3 separate regions of the Mus musculus genome follow, and regions 1 and 2 are each reported to be linked to region 3. The links are microRNA targets in miRTarBase. Many come from high-throughput screens and were not tested one by one. Region 3 holds a microRNA gene; each other region holds the end of a gene's coding sequence.

Region 1 (4,158 bases), not on the chromosome of region 3:
TAAGCCAACAGAAGACACAGAATTGAGATGGGGAGAGAATTGGGTCACAAGGTATGGGAAACCAGTCTGAGGCCGACACACTGGATGTGGCTTTTCTTATTTAACATGCAATTTTGTTTTTGATGGCAATCCAAAAGCAGATGTTCAGAAATAGGCTATTGCCTGCCCCCCACCGTTTGTGCCTGGCTTCCCGGGGGCATCATTTAAAGCATAATGATTAATTGATTCTAAATGCTATGAGAGATTTGTTTAAAAGTAGTGTTTACTTTTAATTATATAAAACATTTTGAACAGTGATCATAGCCTATGATATGAACCAATGTGTAGAGGATAGGGTGGGATAGCAGTGTTCATTTTATACTTAAGCTCTGTGTTCTATGCATGGCCACAATTAAGAACAGGCTGTGGACACCCGATGAGGCCAGAAGACAAAGAAGTAAACGGACAGCATGGGTTGTCCCCTGCTGGCCTTACAAGTCTCTGAGCTTCAGGGAGGCAGCACAGCATGGCAGAGTGTGGCTCAGCAGAACCCATTCCATCCAGGCTTCCTGCCCTTGGAATGAATGGAAAGACTGCAAATTACTTAATTCCTCTGAGGCCCGGTTACCCTTTCCATAAATAACTGGCAAACTGCTTGGGAAACACCAGTTCTTCCTTAGGGAAGGGTGTTTTCTGAAAACTGAGGGTGGTAATCCATTTGTAGACTGAGACTGGTTTTGTGGGTTGAAGTTAGCATGTTGAAGAAACAGAACATCAGAATGTACTGCACACAATGGTAAACATTTTTCATGGATACACGTTCAATCCTAATACGTTTTTTACTGTGGGCTACATCAAAATTTCAGAGGAATTATCAGATTATAACATCAAAAAGTCTTTAGGGGGACTGCCTATACTAATATGAAGTCTCTACAAATTTTAAGACATTAAAATGATTCTTTTTAACTAGTTGAAATAAAAATAAGACATAAATCATAGAGATGATAAATTTAACTAGACACTATGGGGCATATTAAATTCAATTTTAAGATCATTTCTGTGTCATATTGACTAATTTATACGTTTAAGTACTTTTATATCATTTATAGTTGATTAAACACTTCTAAGAAATTTCCACAAAAAGTTGGCTATTGGATTCTATTGTGGAGAAATGAAAAACAATTTCTCAATAACTTTAAAGTATAATGAAATTTTAAAGAGGACTGTAACTTCCTTAACCATTACGGTGGCTAGAGTCAAAAGCCCAATACTGATGGTTCATTAACATGCCGATGGTTCCCACATTCCCACACTGGCTCAGCGAAGATGCGCGGTCCCAAGGGTGCGAGCTTCATATCCAAGCCTCAGCCCTGTTTCTTTGGCTTCCATGTGCTGAGGCTGTTATGGCACTTACTGATGGCACTTTGGGGATTCATGGAATTGAGTATTAAGTAATGAGGAAGATGAAGTAGACCATGGGAGACTAAAGAATTAAACAACACTTCTTATCCTCACAATACTAGCTAATCAGGATGGACTGGCTGTATCGGAATTTCCCCGGGGCCAAAGTTCAAGAATCTTGTTTTAGCTGGGTATGGCAACACACCTTTAATCCCAGCACTCCGGAGGCAGAGACAGATGGATCTCTGAGTTCAAGGCCAGCCTGGTCTACAGAGAGAGTTCCAGGACAGCTAGGTCAGGACTATACAGAGAAAACATCTTGAAAAATAAAACAAAACAAAAAGGAATCTTATTTGAAGTAAAATCTGGATGCATTCTGAATGCCCCCTGCTCAGGTTTGACATGCTATCTTAAAGGAGCAGCAAGAACCAGAGAACAAAGGATGACAATAAAAGTAATTACTTAATGCCCAGTGTGTTTGGCAATATTTCAGGATCCGAAAATTATTCAAATTTTGTTTGTTATTAAAGTCTTAAGACAGCGGATAAGAAATAAATACTCAATACTTTCCGATCTTTTAATACGGTGTAGTTCTTTGTTTCATAGGGATGCACTGGTAAGACTCACAAAGCATTGAAGGGAAGGAAGGAAGTTATAACACAGAGGGAAAGGTAGCAACCCACAGAGGCCAAACATCAACTCAGCACTTAAAAGAAGCTAAGAGGTAACCCTTCGGCCCCTGACCCTGTGCTCTGGCTGCTGGTGCACTCTTCTCAGGAAGAGATGAGAGTTGCGGGACCAGTGGCTTCTTCCTATTCCTTTCTTCTGAATCTCAAACCTTTCTGTTTTGAGAGAGACACGGAGTTGAAGTGGACATGCCTGCTGTGCATGCCAACTGTTGGGTTAGCACCACAGATCTTTCCTTGGGTCTGAATCATGAGTTTTCCCATCTAGAATGTGAGAGAGGTTAAGCGTGACCACTGCGAGGACAGCGGCAGGAGGGGAGACGGCCTGGGAAAGGGCAGCAGTGACAGATGTGAGGTAGAAAGCTCCTTCTTGGACGCCCAAGAAGACTGAGGGGCGGCAATCCCTGGAGGCAGCAGGTATGCCAGCCCCTTCTAAAGTGCCCTGTGATATGATCTTGTACTCACTCCCCTTAACCTAAATAACGTTGGAAATATTTAAATTTTCTTTTTTCAACTAAAGAGATTGTAGAGATTACAGGTAGGGGTAGCTAGAAGTGGAAAACTATATAAAAAGGCAGATTATGAGGAAAATCCTTATAACATGGGTAGGAATCAGAAGAGTAGAATAGACAGTTATCTGAATCACCAGCTGGAAATGGGCTTGGTGGCTGGTTTAGTAGGTCTAGCATTGAGGTTTTGTGCTCCTTATCTGGAGAGGCAGGAAAGACTTCAGAAAAAACACCCATGTCACAATGAAGAAACTGTAAAGAGAAAATGGGCTTCTCTTTCTATTTTATAGTGTTAATTTCCTTCCCCAGAAAATACAGATGGGTCTAAGTACAACAGCCCTCAAGTCCACAAGTAGTTCACCCGTGCCCCCTGTTGAGCGGCAACATCCCTACCTGACAGAGACTCCTGAACTCGAATTCTGTTCCTCCCTATAGGAAGAAATAATTGACAAATACACTGACCTCAGGTGTCCACTACATGTCTACACTTCTTAGATCCTTAGTTATGGATCCAGTTTTCACATTTCCAGGCCTAACCTTTGCTCTTTGGCAGTCTTTAAACTTGACCTGACAGACACCCTCTGGCCAGGCTCCTCCACCTCTAAAATCTCCATTAACACCCAGCTAACAAACACATCCACTCATGGTGGTTCAACACTGCATGGACAGGGAGAGCCACTTCCTAACACTTCCAGCAACAGCAACTGCTCCTTAGCTCGGTGCACAGCAGCAGCTGGAAGCTTGGGCTTTAACTGCGTTTTTTGTCACTTTGGCTAGGGAGATCTGGACAGCTGGAAGTGAGCTTCTCCATCATTTTCTGTTTCCTTCTTTGTATCAATTTTCCACCTGTGAAGCCTAACACCCCACCACCAAGTGCAGCTGCAATTCCTGCCACTTTGAAGCCTGCGAGGAGGCCGATGGGACCCCCTACCACTCCTCCGATGAGTGCACCTGCCACAGGCAGAGCTGCCAGCTTGTATTTTGCAGCCTGTAAAAAAAAAAAAAGATTCAATTTAGAAATTGAGTTGAGAAAAATCTGCCTGTGGTGATGTGCGTTTTCCTCTCATTACTCCTGGCAATGCCTCTTTAACTCTACGTTCATAATTAACCTCAGAGATTATTCTTGGAGGGGTGTGTGTGTGAATGTATTCCACAGGTACTGCCATTGCTCCAGACCACAGACCTGAAGGAGGCAGGAGGTGTGCTCCAGATTGGACTATACAAAATGATTTTACATGCAAACTACTCAATCCTCTATCTGGCTGGCTTGTTTAAACAGCTCCTCCAGCAGCCACTGGCTCCCAGCAAAGCTGTGGCTCAGCACAGAGGCTGCTCCACAGTGGGCACCTGGGCTGAGAGTCCCATCAGATGGATAATAGACGCTCCCACTCCTCCAGTGCTGCAGCAGGCTCGGGCTTTGCTTCTGCCTGGATTAATGGACTGCTCTCTCTTCTCCCTAGGCCACTGCAGATATTCCTTCAGACAACTAAATCCCCCAGAGTGAAGCCACAGTTCACTCTCTTTTGAGAAAAAAATTCTCTCATGATAGAATGAATCTGGGAGTAAAATATTACAGCCATTGA
Region 2 (4,158 bases), not on the chromosome of region 3:
GTTACTGATGAGAGCAGACAAAAGGCTTTCTGTAGCTTAAGATGATGGGAAATACATCTTCAGACCTAATGTGATCTTAATTCTATGCCTCTATTTGCCAATCTTTAATGACCTTTAAGTAAGAAATTAGGATGTCACGTTCTGAATGGACTAGATAATTCGGTTCATTTGAAATACATTTTTTCGTGTATTTTATTTTCATGAGAAGTGTCTGCTTGTCAGTGACAAAAACATTTTGGTTTTCTAGGTCTCATTTGATAGTGTGACTTATGAGATTAAGGAAGGCAGAGCAACTGGAAGGAGAAATAATATTTCTGAGCAATTTCTAAGAATGAAATGTTGTGTTCTCGTTTCAGGTTTCCTGAATCTGCAGTTTCTGTTTTGAAGAGCCAACACTTAAGACAGAAGCTCCTTCAGTCTCTGTTCCTTGATCAGGTTTATTGGGAAAGTCAAGGAGGCAGGCAAGGCATCGAGAAGCTTATCGACGTGATAGAGCGGAGAGCCAGAATCCTTATCACCTACATCAACGCACACGGGGCTAGAGTATTACCTATGAATGAATGACAAATGGCTTTCTGCCTTGAGGGCTATACATGTGTCACATTTGGTTTTTCTTAAATAAAAGATATCAACCTTAAGTGTTTCTAGAAACGAGGCAGCATAGTTGAATACGTGAAACTGACGCAGTTTATATCATGAACTGAGTTTAAAAAGTTTGTAGAGTTTAGAGGTATGCAGATTCAAGAAGTTTCAGAATAACATATTGCTTGCAGAATGCCTGTTAATATATTTTCCTAAGACTCTGGTATGTTTGTCTCAGCATTGTCATTGTGTAATGACCCAAATGATTATTCCTACTGATGTTTAAACCATTTTCATATCATTTGACGGAACAATATAAACCAGAGACACTGGCTCTTCTAATAAATCATTCCCATGCCATTTGACTGACCTGACCAGCTGCTAGAAATGAGTTGATCGGCATTCTCTCATTGCTGATGGTTGCAACAGCTTTTCCAACACTATCCAGAGGCAATTCTACATCACGAAATTGAGGCGTCTGATCTGCAAGTACAACAGTCTTGAAACACCTTCTAAGTAGACATGGAAGTAGATTCGTTACAAACGACCAGTATATTTTCTAGAGTCTAAGATAATCAGCTACCTCTGAACAACAAAATTCTCCTATCCTTCCCTTTTTAAGAAATTTATTGACAGCATAGACATTTCCATATATGACAATTGATGTATTCGATTTGCTGTCTCAATTTTGATCCAATTTATATCTTGTGGTTAGAAAACTAAAAAGTTATGAGGCATGTTGCTACCTGTTTGAAAATTTACTTGTAGAATCCCTTAATATTCTTATTGGTTGATTGGCTTAAAAAAAAGTTAAGGTTTCACATAGTCCAGGCTGGCTTTGAACTCCTTACGCATCAGAGGATGACCTTGGTCTTCTGATGCTTTGCCACCCAAGTGTTGGGATAACAGACAGTATATGACACCATGCCCCGTAGTACTCAGGATCAAGCTGGGTCTCTGTCATGTTAGAGAGACACTGTATGACTAAGCCCATAACCCCAGCCCACTTTTAATGAATATGTAACAATTTGTCATTTTATAAAGGATATACTGTAATTTCTGAAGTTTTCTTTTTTGTTTTTGTTTTTGTTTTTTGTTTTTCGAGTCAGGGTTTCTCTGTATAGCCTTGGCTGTCCTAGAACTCACTCTGTAGACCAGGCTGACCTTGAACTCAGAAATCCGCCTGCCTCTGCCTCCCAAGTGCTGGGTTTAAAGGCATGCGCCACCACTGCCTGGCTGAAGTATTTTTTTTTAATCATAGAGGACTTCCTTGGTGCAATTAGGTTTCATCTGATTTAACTGATATTATCTAGGTATTGACGATAAGTTCAGATATTAAATATATTATGTAGATCAGCTCAATACAAGAAGTCCTAATGAAAGCCAACACTCATGACTGCATCTTCTCACAAAGAACATGGATAGAGAGCATATGGCAACTAATTAGGCAAAATTAAGTCTCAACTAATTCTCCCCCAAATCCCTCTACCAAACCTTTCGTGGGCTTGGAGGAACTAAGGCACACAAAGTTCATGCTCTGAGTCTTTCTGTCCTGAGAGAATTTGCCAGGCCATCACTTATCCTTCTTATACGGAACCTTTGAATCTAGAGCAAATTCTGTCTCTCTTGCTTTCAGCTCTACTACCGCTTATTTGCAAGGTCATTGATTAGCCAGGTGTAGTGATACAGACCTGAAATCCTAGCACCCAGGAAGCCGTGGACGGTTTGCAAGTCTGATGTCAGTCTGGTGTTAGTGATAACCTGTCTGAAATGTGCCTCTCCCTTCATAAAAACTGATTTACTGACTTTTTCTTCTTTTGGAAACTTAAAAAAACTAAAATAAAAAGTTACACATTTTTATCATACTTCTCATCTCCTTGTTTTCAGTTTTGTTCTTAATGCACACATCTTCCGTCTTCTGATGAAAAATAATTTGATATTGATGTGAACTTTTAAAAACATACCAATATAGGCTACATCATAGGAAAAAATACCTGTGTAGATTATAATTGATACAAATACACCAACTTGTCAAACTAGTAAGTCTAAGTGTTAGGTATAAGAGAAGACAGACGAAGGGAAGAGGCACCCACTGATGCCTCTTGTTTCTGCTTTCCAAGGCTCATGACCAAGGACTGCATCTTCCATCCTATATGTTTCCTTTCCCTTGGCGTGGTGAACTTTGTCGCGTTCTCTGCAGTTCTCTCCAGTGTGACCTGAGTATGACTGTGGGCTCTGGTGAGTCCCCACAATGGCTGCTCTCTATGAGTTTTGTCTCACAAATCATCTTAATTATCTTTGTGAGCACTTTTACACCCCCACTTGACCTTGAATTAAAAGATTTCTGCCAAGTTGTCTCATGCCTTATCAAGACGACCTACACATTTATCTTAATACTTTTTTGTTTTTGCAGAATTTACCATTTTAATTCACATTGTGATATTAATTACAGGCATTCTGGCTTTTTAAAAATCTTGCTTTTATGCTCTCAGTTAGGATGCTTCTGAGCAAGCTGGCCTCCCCAAGATGGGTCTGACCCAGATGGGTTTTTGCCTAGTTATTTCAACATGCTTAATTCTAAGCAAAAGGTTCGAGGACATTGCTTATTTTTATAACTTTTGTTTTAAAGATTTATTTTTACTGTTTATTTGTGTGTATACATAGGTATACACACACATGTGTATGCAGTACTCATGGAAGCCAGAAGAAGGGCATCGGAACCTCTGAAGCAATTGTGAGCTACCTGACTTGGGGTCTTGGAACTCAACTAAGGTCCTCTGGAAGAGCAGTGCATGCTCTCAACAGCTGGGCATCTCCCCAGCCTTTACATTCATTTTTAAAATGATTTATTTTGTTTTGCAAACAGTGAGTAATTGATGGTGCATTAGTTTTGACTAATAACTTCAGGCCAAACTCTGATTTCTAACAAGCAACATTTTTCTTTTATTGAAACGATGAGAGTGTTTTTGTATTTCCGATGTGCTAAAGAAAACCTACTGTGATTTGGTATAGAATATCCCATTACATGGCTTATTTGCTCTAACAGATGTAAATAGAAGATAAGGGCTTATTCTGGTGTGACCTGCTTCCTGTTAGCTGATGTGAAAACACACATGTGTCTCAGACCCTGTCATTAAATGCTACAAATTAAATTCGTGTAATTTTTTCTGATACACGAGTTAGTTTTCAAAAGAGAATACAGTGCCCCTCCCCTTTGGAACAGTCCACTCCAGTCTGTCTCTGCTTTAGACAGACTTTAGTCTTTGTTTTTATGACCAAATATTCTGTTTAAACTGGAAAACGGAATAAACAATGAACTTCAAAAGGATGTTTGTTTGTTACTTCACCAGTGGAAAAAAAGAGGCAATTTAGAAGTCAAGATGCCTGCCTGGGTCGTGTGTGCAGGCATGTGTGCACGAATTTGATGTCATAATTCATGATCACTATGCTTTCTCTCCGTGTACATATAGCATCGTACTATAGGGTTGGCAAAATAATTAGCTAGCAGATTTCATTCCTCTTAGGAGGAGATTTAATTTTTAGTTAGCTTTCCATGGTTGCTGCGAGCCTTACAGT
Region 3 (4,158 bases):
TTCCGGTGGCGGATCGCCGACCGGGCGGAGCTGATCGCTGCGCGGGCTGCGAGATCTAGGTGGCCGGGCGCGGAGCCCAAGCCGTGCCGCGCGGCGCCATGAAGGGCAAGGAGGAAAAGGAGGGCGGCGCGCGGCTGGGCACTGGTGGCGGCGGCAGCCCTGATAAGAGCCCGAGTGCGCAAGAGCTCAAGGAGCAGGGAAACCGGCTCTTCGTGGGCCGCAAGTACCCGGAGGCGGCGGCCTGCTACGGCCGCGCCATCGTGAGTGCGGGAGGGGCGGGGGCGGGGCCCGATGTGCCTCCCAGTTTTGTGATCCCGGACAGGGTTTCTGGCAGCCTGGACTCGATGGCTCGCTCGCTCCCCTGGTGCCCGGATTGCTGTTCCCGAGTCTAGGGCTGATTTGACTGGGAACTGGCGGGCGGGATGCTTGATTAAGTAAGACTAAGGATGACACCAGGAGCTCTTGCCCCTTGAGATTTCCAAGCCCAGAGCTTGTAGAGGGGTTGTGGGATTTCTCTCAAAAGCAGTTGGAGGCAAGAAAGCATGGCCAGAATCCAGAGCTCTTGATAATTCGGAAATCTCCAGTTCCTCTATTCCAGCCATGGGCCCCCAAAGCTGGAGCATTGACCAGATCATTGGCTTTCAGCTTGCTAAATGAGAGGGGATCAACTGAGCCCACACTCTTTGACGCCTGGTCTTGGTCCCCAGACTCGGAACCCACTTGTGGCAGTGTACTACACTAACCGGGCCCTGTGCTATCTGAAGATGCAGCAGCCTGAACAGGCACTTGCTGACTGCCGGCGAGCCCTGGAGCTGGACGGGCAGTCTGTGAAGGCGCACTTCTTCCTGGGGCAGTGCCAGCTGGAGATGGAGAGTTATGATGAGGCCATTGCCAATCTGCAGCGAGGTGGGCTGACAAGATGCAAGGTTGAGGGCACCTTGGGGGACCAGGATTGTTGACAAGTGTAACCAAAAGTGTCCACTCCCCTAGCCTATAGTTTGGCCAAGGAGCAGCGACTCAACTTTGGGGATGATATTCCTAGTGCCCTTCGCATTGCTAAGAAGAAGCGCTGGAACAGTATCGAGGAACGGCGCATCCACCAGGAGAGTGAGCTGCATTCATATCTCACCAGGCTCATTGCTGCTGAGCGAGAGAGGTGGGTCCCTCCCCCAGCAGACACTGAGTCACCAGCACAAGTGTTTTTATTGAAGGACAACAACCGGTACATGGGAAGCCCAGGAGGAAAGAGGCCTGAGATGGGGCGGGCTCTGTGATTTCCTGGTCAGGGCCATCACCAACTAGCTTCTGGTTAACCCTCAGGGAACTGGAGGAGTGTCAGCGGAACCACGAGGGTCATGAAGATGATGGCCACATCCGGGCCCAGCAGGCCTGCATTGAGGCCAAGCACGTGAGGGTGCCCCTAGTCCACATGTGGGTCATTGTGTGTGTGTTTGTGTGTGGCATGAAAAGTGCCCCAGCCTTTGGTGGATCTGTTGGCCCATGCATGACATGAGTGCCCTGGTGGACAGAGTGTGTGTGTCTGTGTGGAGACAGGAGTTGCCCACACATGGCACTCAACTCTGCAGGATAAATACATGGCAGATATGGATGAGCTCTTCTCTCAGGTGGACGAGAAAAGAAAGGTGAGGACCCCCGGAAGCTCATCGGCTGCTGCTGGTATGGTGACCCCCACAGCCCCCTCCAGTTCTAGACATTTTCCCCTTGTGCTATAGAAGCGAGATATCCCTGACTACTTGTGTGGCAAGATTAGCTTTGAGCTGATGCGGGAACCCTGCATTACACCCAGTGGTATCACCTATGACCGCAAGGACATTGAGGAGCACCTGCAGGTAAGGAGGGCCCATGGAGACCGGGCCATGGAGAGCCTTGGTACCCGGATCGGTATACTCAGGCCATTGAACACTCTTGACTCTGTTGCAGCGTGTGGGCCACTTTGACCCTGTGACCCGGAGCCCTCTGACCCAGGAACAGCTCATCCCCAACTTGGCCATGAAGGAAGTCATTGACGCTTTCATCTCTGAGAACGGCTGGGTAGAGGACTATTGAGGCCCCATGTCCTGCCTGGCACCCTGGCCCAGGAGGATCTGGAGACGGAAGCTCCAGTCCCTGTATAGTTTGTGTCCCTGGGCCTGCCCCCATCGGCCCTGCTGATGGGTTCTGAACTGCTCCCCTTCTCAGCATACCCCTTGCTGGACCATGAGCCTCCCTTGTCCCCCTTCTGGGCTGGAGAGTGGGTGAGGGTGGGCTGAGGTTGCTGCTGCTGCCACTGTCCTGTAATAAAGTCTGTGAGCACTACATTGGCATGTGCTGGTGCAGTGGGCTTGCCAGTTGCCTGTCTGGCTAGCCAAGGAAGGTAGAAATGAAGACACTGGTGTCCAGATTGAGTGTGGCATGCCACCACCGATCAGGAAAATACAGTACCTGGGAGAAAAGAAAAAAAAAATTTTGATTCATGGCTTTTTGAGTTAGCCCAACCCCCACCTACCAGCTACTGACTTCACCAGCCTGGATGGTACATTCTAGAGGCCGTGCTGACAGGGCTAGAGATGGGTATATTTCCAGCAGCCAGGCCAATGTGGTCTTGTTAGGGTGGAACTCAGGTGTCTTCTCAGGAGGGTAGAGGAACCAGCGCTGGAGGCAGGAGTGTAAGGTCACTATGTGTGCAATGGACTATAGACACCAGATTTACACACACACATAACACACACATAACACTGTACTGACCTTCCGACCATAGATAACCTCTGAGAAACCAGGCCCATGCCAGTGGAAGGGTACCCCAGATCCAGCTCCTGTGGGGTCAGTTATGAATAGCTGATGAACAAAATATATATGGGCTCCCCCAAGTTTGTTTTGAAGTAGCCCCTACCTGCAATTCCAAAGCTGTAAGCAGGGGTGGTTCCCAGGAGACGGAATGGTGGCGGAGAGTAGTGCTGGAAGAGGGATGCCCACTCAGTGAAGTTGTTGTCTCCAAAAAAGTACAGGGTGTCTGCCAGCAGAGAGGGTGATAGGCAGGAGTACTGGCAACAGTGGGCTCCCAAGTACCCCACTCCCACCGCTGCCTGGGTCTGGCTCACCATTGCCTAGGGATGCAGGATCCTGGGGCTGCAGCAGCTGTTCCACATATTCCTGGAAGGGCAGGTCCACTACAAGAAGGGGGAGCCAGTCGGGACTGGTCAGTTCTGCCTTTGAGATGTGAAGGCAAACCTTGCAGGGTGTGTAGCTCACCTTTCTGGTAGGAGTAGGTGTTGGCTGTACTCAAGCGAACAATGTTGTCCCCGAACGAGGCTAGCAGGTTTTCCCGGGAACACAGGGCCCGGAACTTCTGGGGATGAAGGATAAGGTAACTGAGCACTTGGCCAAACAGAAGCAGTTGCCCACAGGGTACGAATACTCACCGAGTTGTCCGTGAGTCCTTGCAAGATGACGGGCTTGAGGAAGGCATAGCTGGGGGGAAAGAGGAGAATGTTGCACTGAGTTTGAACTCTGCAGGGGCCTCTCCTACACACCAGGCAGTGAGACCTCCGCAGCCAAAGACCATGATTGGTAGTATGCCTAGAATCATGCTGAGACTTGGGGCAGGCACACATACTGCTGCATGAATTCGGAGTACGTGATGTGTGCCCGACGCTCCACTGTGCAACGCTCCTCCTCCATTACTGCTGCTGCAATTCCCAGCCCATTCTGTTTCCTGCAGGGACAACAGGTCAGGCCAGTCAAAGCTTTAAGTTCAGGCTCCCTCCCGCCACCCATTTCCTATGGCTCACCATCCCCCTTCGCCAGAGGCAGGCAGAATCACAGTCACCATCATCCATAGTACAAAGAGCAAAAGCAGACCGCGCCGCCCAGCCGCCGCCATGAACATACGGGTGCAGGCGCGCAGCACGCTGGGAATTCTGTCGACACTTGCGTAACCACAAGCCATTGGCTTATCATCCGGACTGCTGTAGCTACCTGCAAGCAGTAGCCAGCCGGCCTTGGAAGTCTCCTCCTTCTTCATACAAGCGCATTGTACACACACACACACACACACACACACATCCACACAACATCCCTATTTAATCATTTCCTCAAGGCGGAGGGAAAATTGTATCGAGCAGCCATTGACTACTGTGCGTTACCATGGCTACAGCGCCC

The links. The annotated mature microRNA mmu-miR-3082-5p reads GACAGAGUGUGUGUGUCUGUGU and lies in region 3 at 1,525-1,546, shown strand. An mRNA with a match to its seed (bases 2 to 7 or 8) in the 3' UTR can be bound and repressed. Matches are read on the target gene's strand: a 7mer-m8 pairs with bases 2 to 8, a 7mer-A1 pairs with bases 2 to 7 and ends in A, and an 8mer does both.
Region 1: the mRNA of Stx17 is a reported target of mmu-miR-3082-5p. Seed matches in the 3' UTR shown: 7mer-A1 at 1,685-1,691 and 7mer-A1 at 1,649-1,655.
Region 2: miRTarBase lists Gask1b as a target of mmu-miR-3082-5p. Seed matches in the 3' UTR shown: 7mer-A1 at 1,697-1,703 and 8mer at 1,727-1,734.

Annotation. Positions count from the first base shown.
Region 1 is chr4:48,180,904-48,185,061 of GRCm38, reverse strand. Stx17 (syntaxin 17) reads right to left here. Exons shown (of 8, transcript NM_026343.2): 8 at 1-3,563. The coding sequence ends at 3,324. Among named protein-coding and RNA genes, the nearest start is that of Mir1958, 30 kb to the left of the region's middle.
Region 2 is chr3:79,940,939-79,945,096 of GRCm38, forward strand. It overlaps Gask1b (golgi associated kinase 1B), which reads left to right. Exons shown (of 4, transcript NM_133187.3): 4 at 357-4,158. The coding sequence ends at 564. Among named protein-coding and RNA genes, the nearest start is that of Gm36569, 56 kb to the left of the region's middle.
Region 3 is chr17:25,828,794-25,832,951 of GRCm38, reverse strand. Mir3082 (microRNA 3082) reads left to right here and starts at 1,524; the gene lies at 1,524-1,587. Jmjd8 (jumonji domain containing 8) reads right to left here and starts at 3,909. Exons shown (of 9, transcript NM_028101.5): 1 at 3,789-3,909; 2 at 3,614-3,712; 3 at 3,420-3,468; 4 at 3,250-3,346; 5 at 3,099-3,167; 6 at 2,891-3,010; 7 at 2,746-2,813; 8 at 2,518-2,652; 9 at 1,109-2,442. The coding sequence starts at 3,880. The coding sequence ends at 2,362. Stub1 (STIP1 homology and U-Box containing protein 1) reads left to right here and starts at 33. Exons shown (of 7, transcript NM_019719.4): 1 at 33-260; 2 at 708-906; 3 at 991-1,156; 4 at 1,321-1,408; 5 at 1,587-1,643; 6 at 1,734-1,850; 7 at 1,942-2,318. The coding sequence starts at 99. The coding sequence ends at 2,067.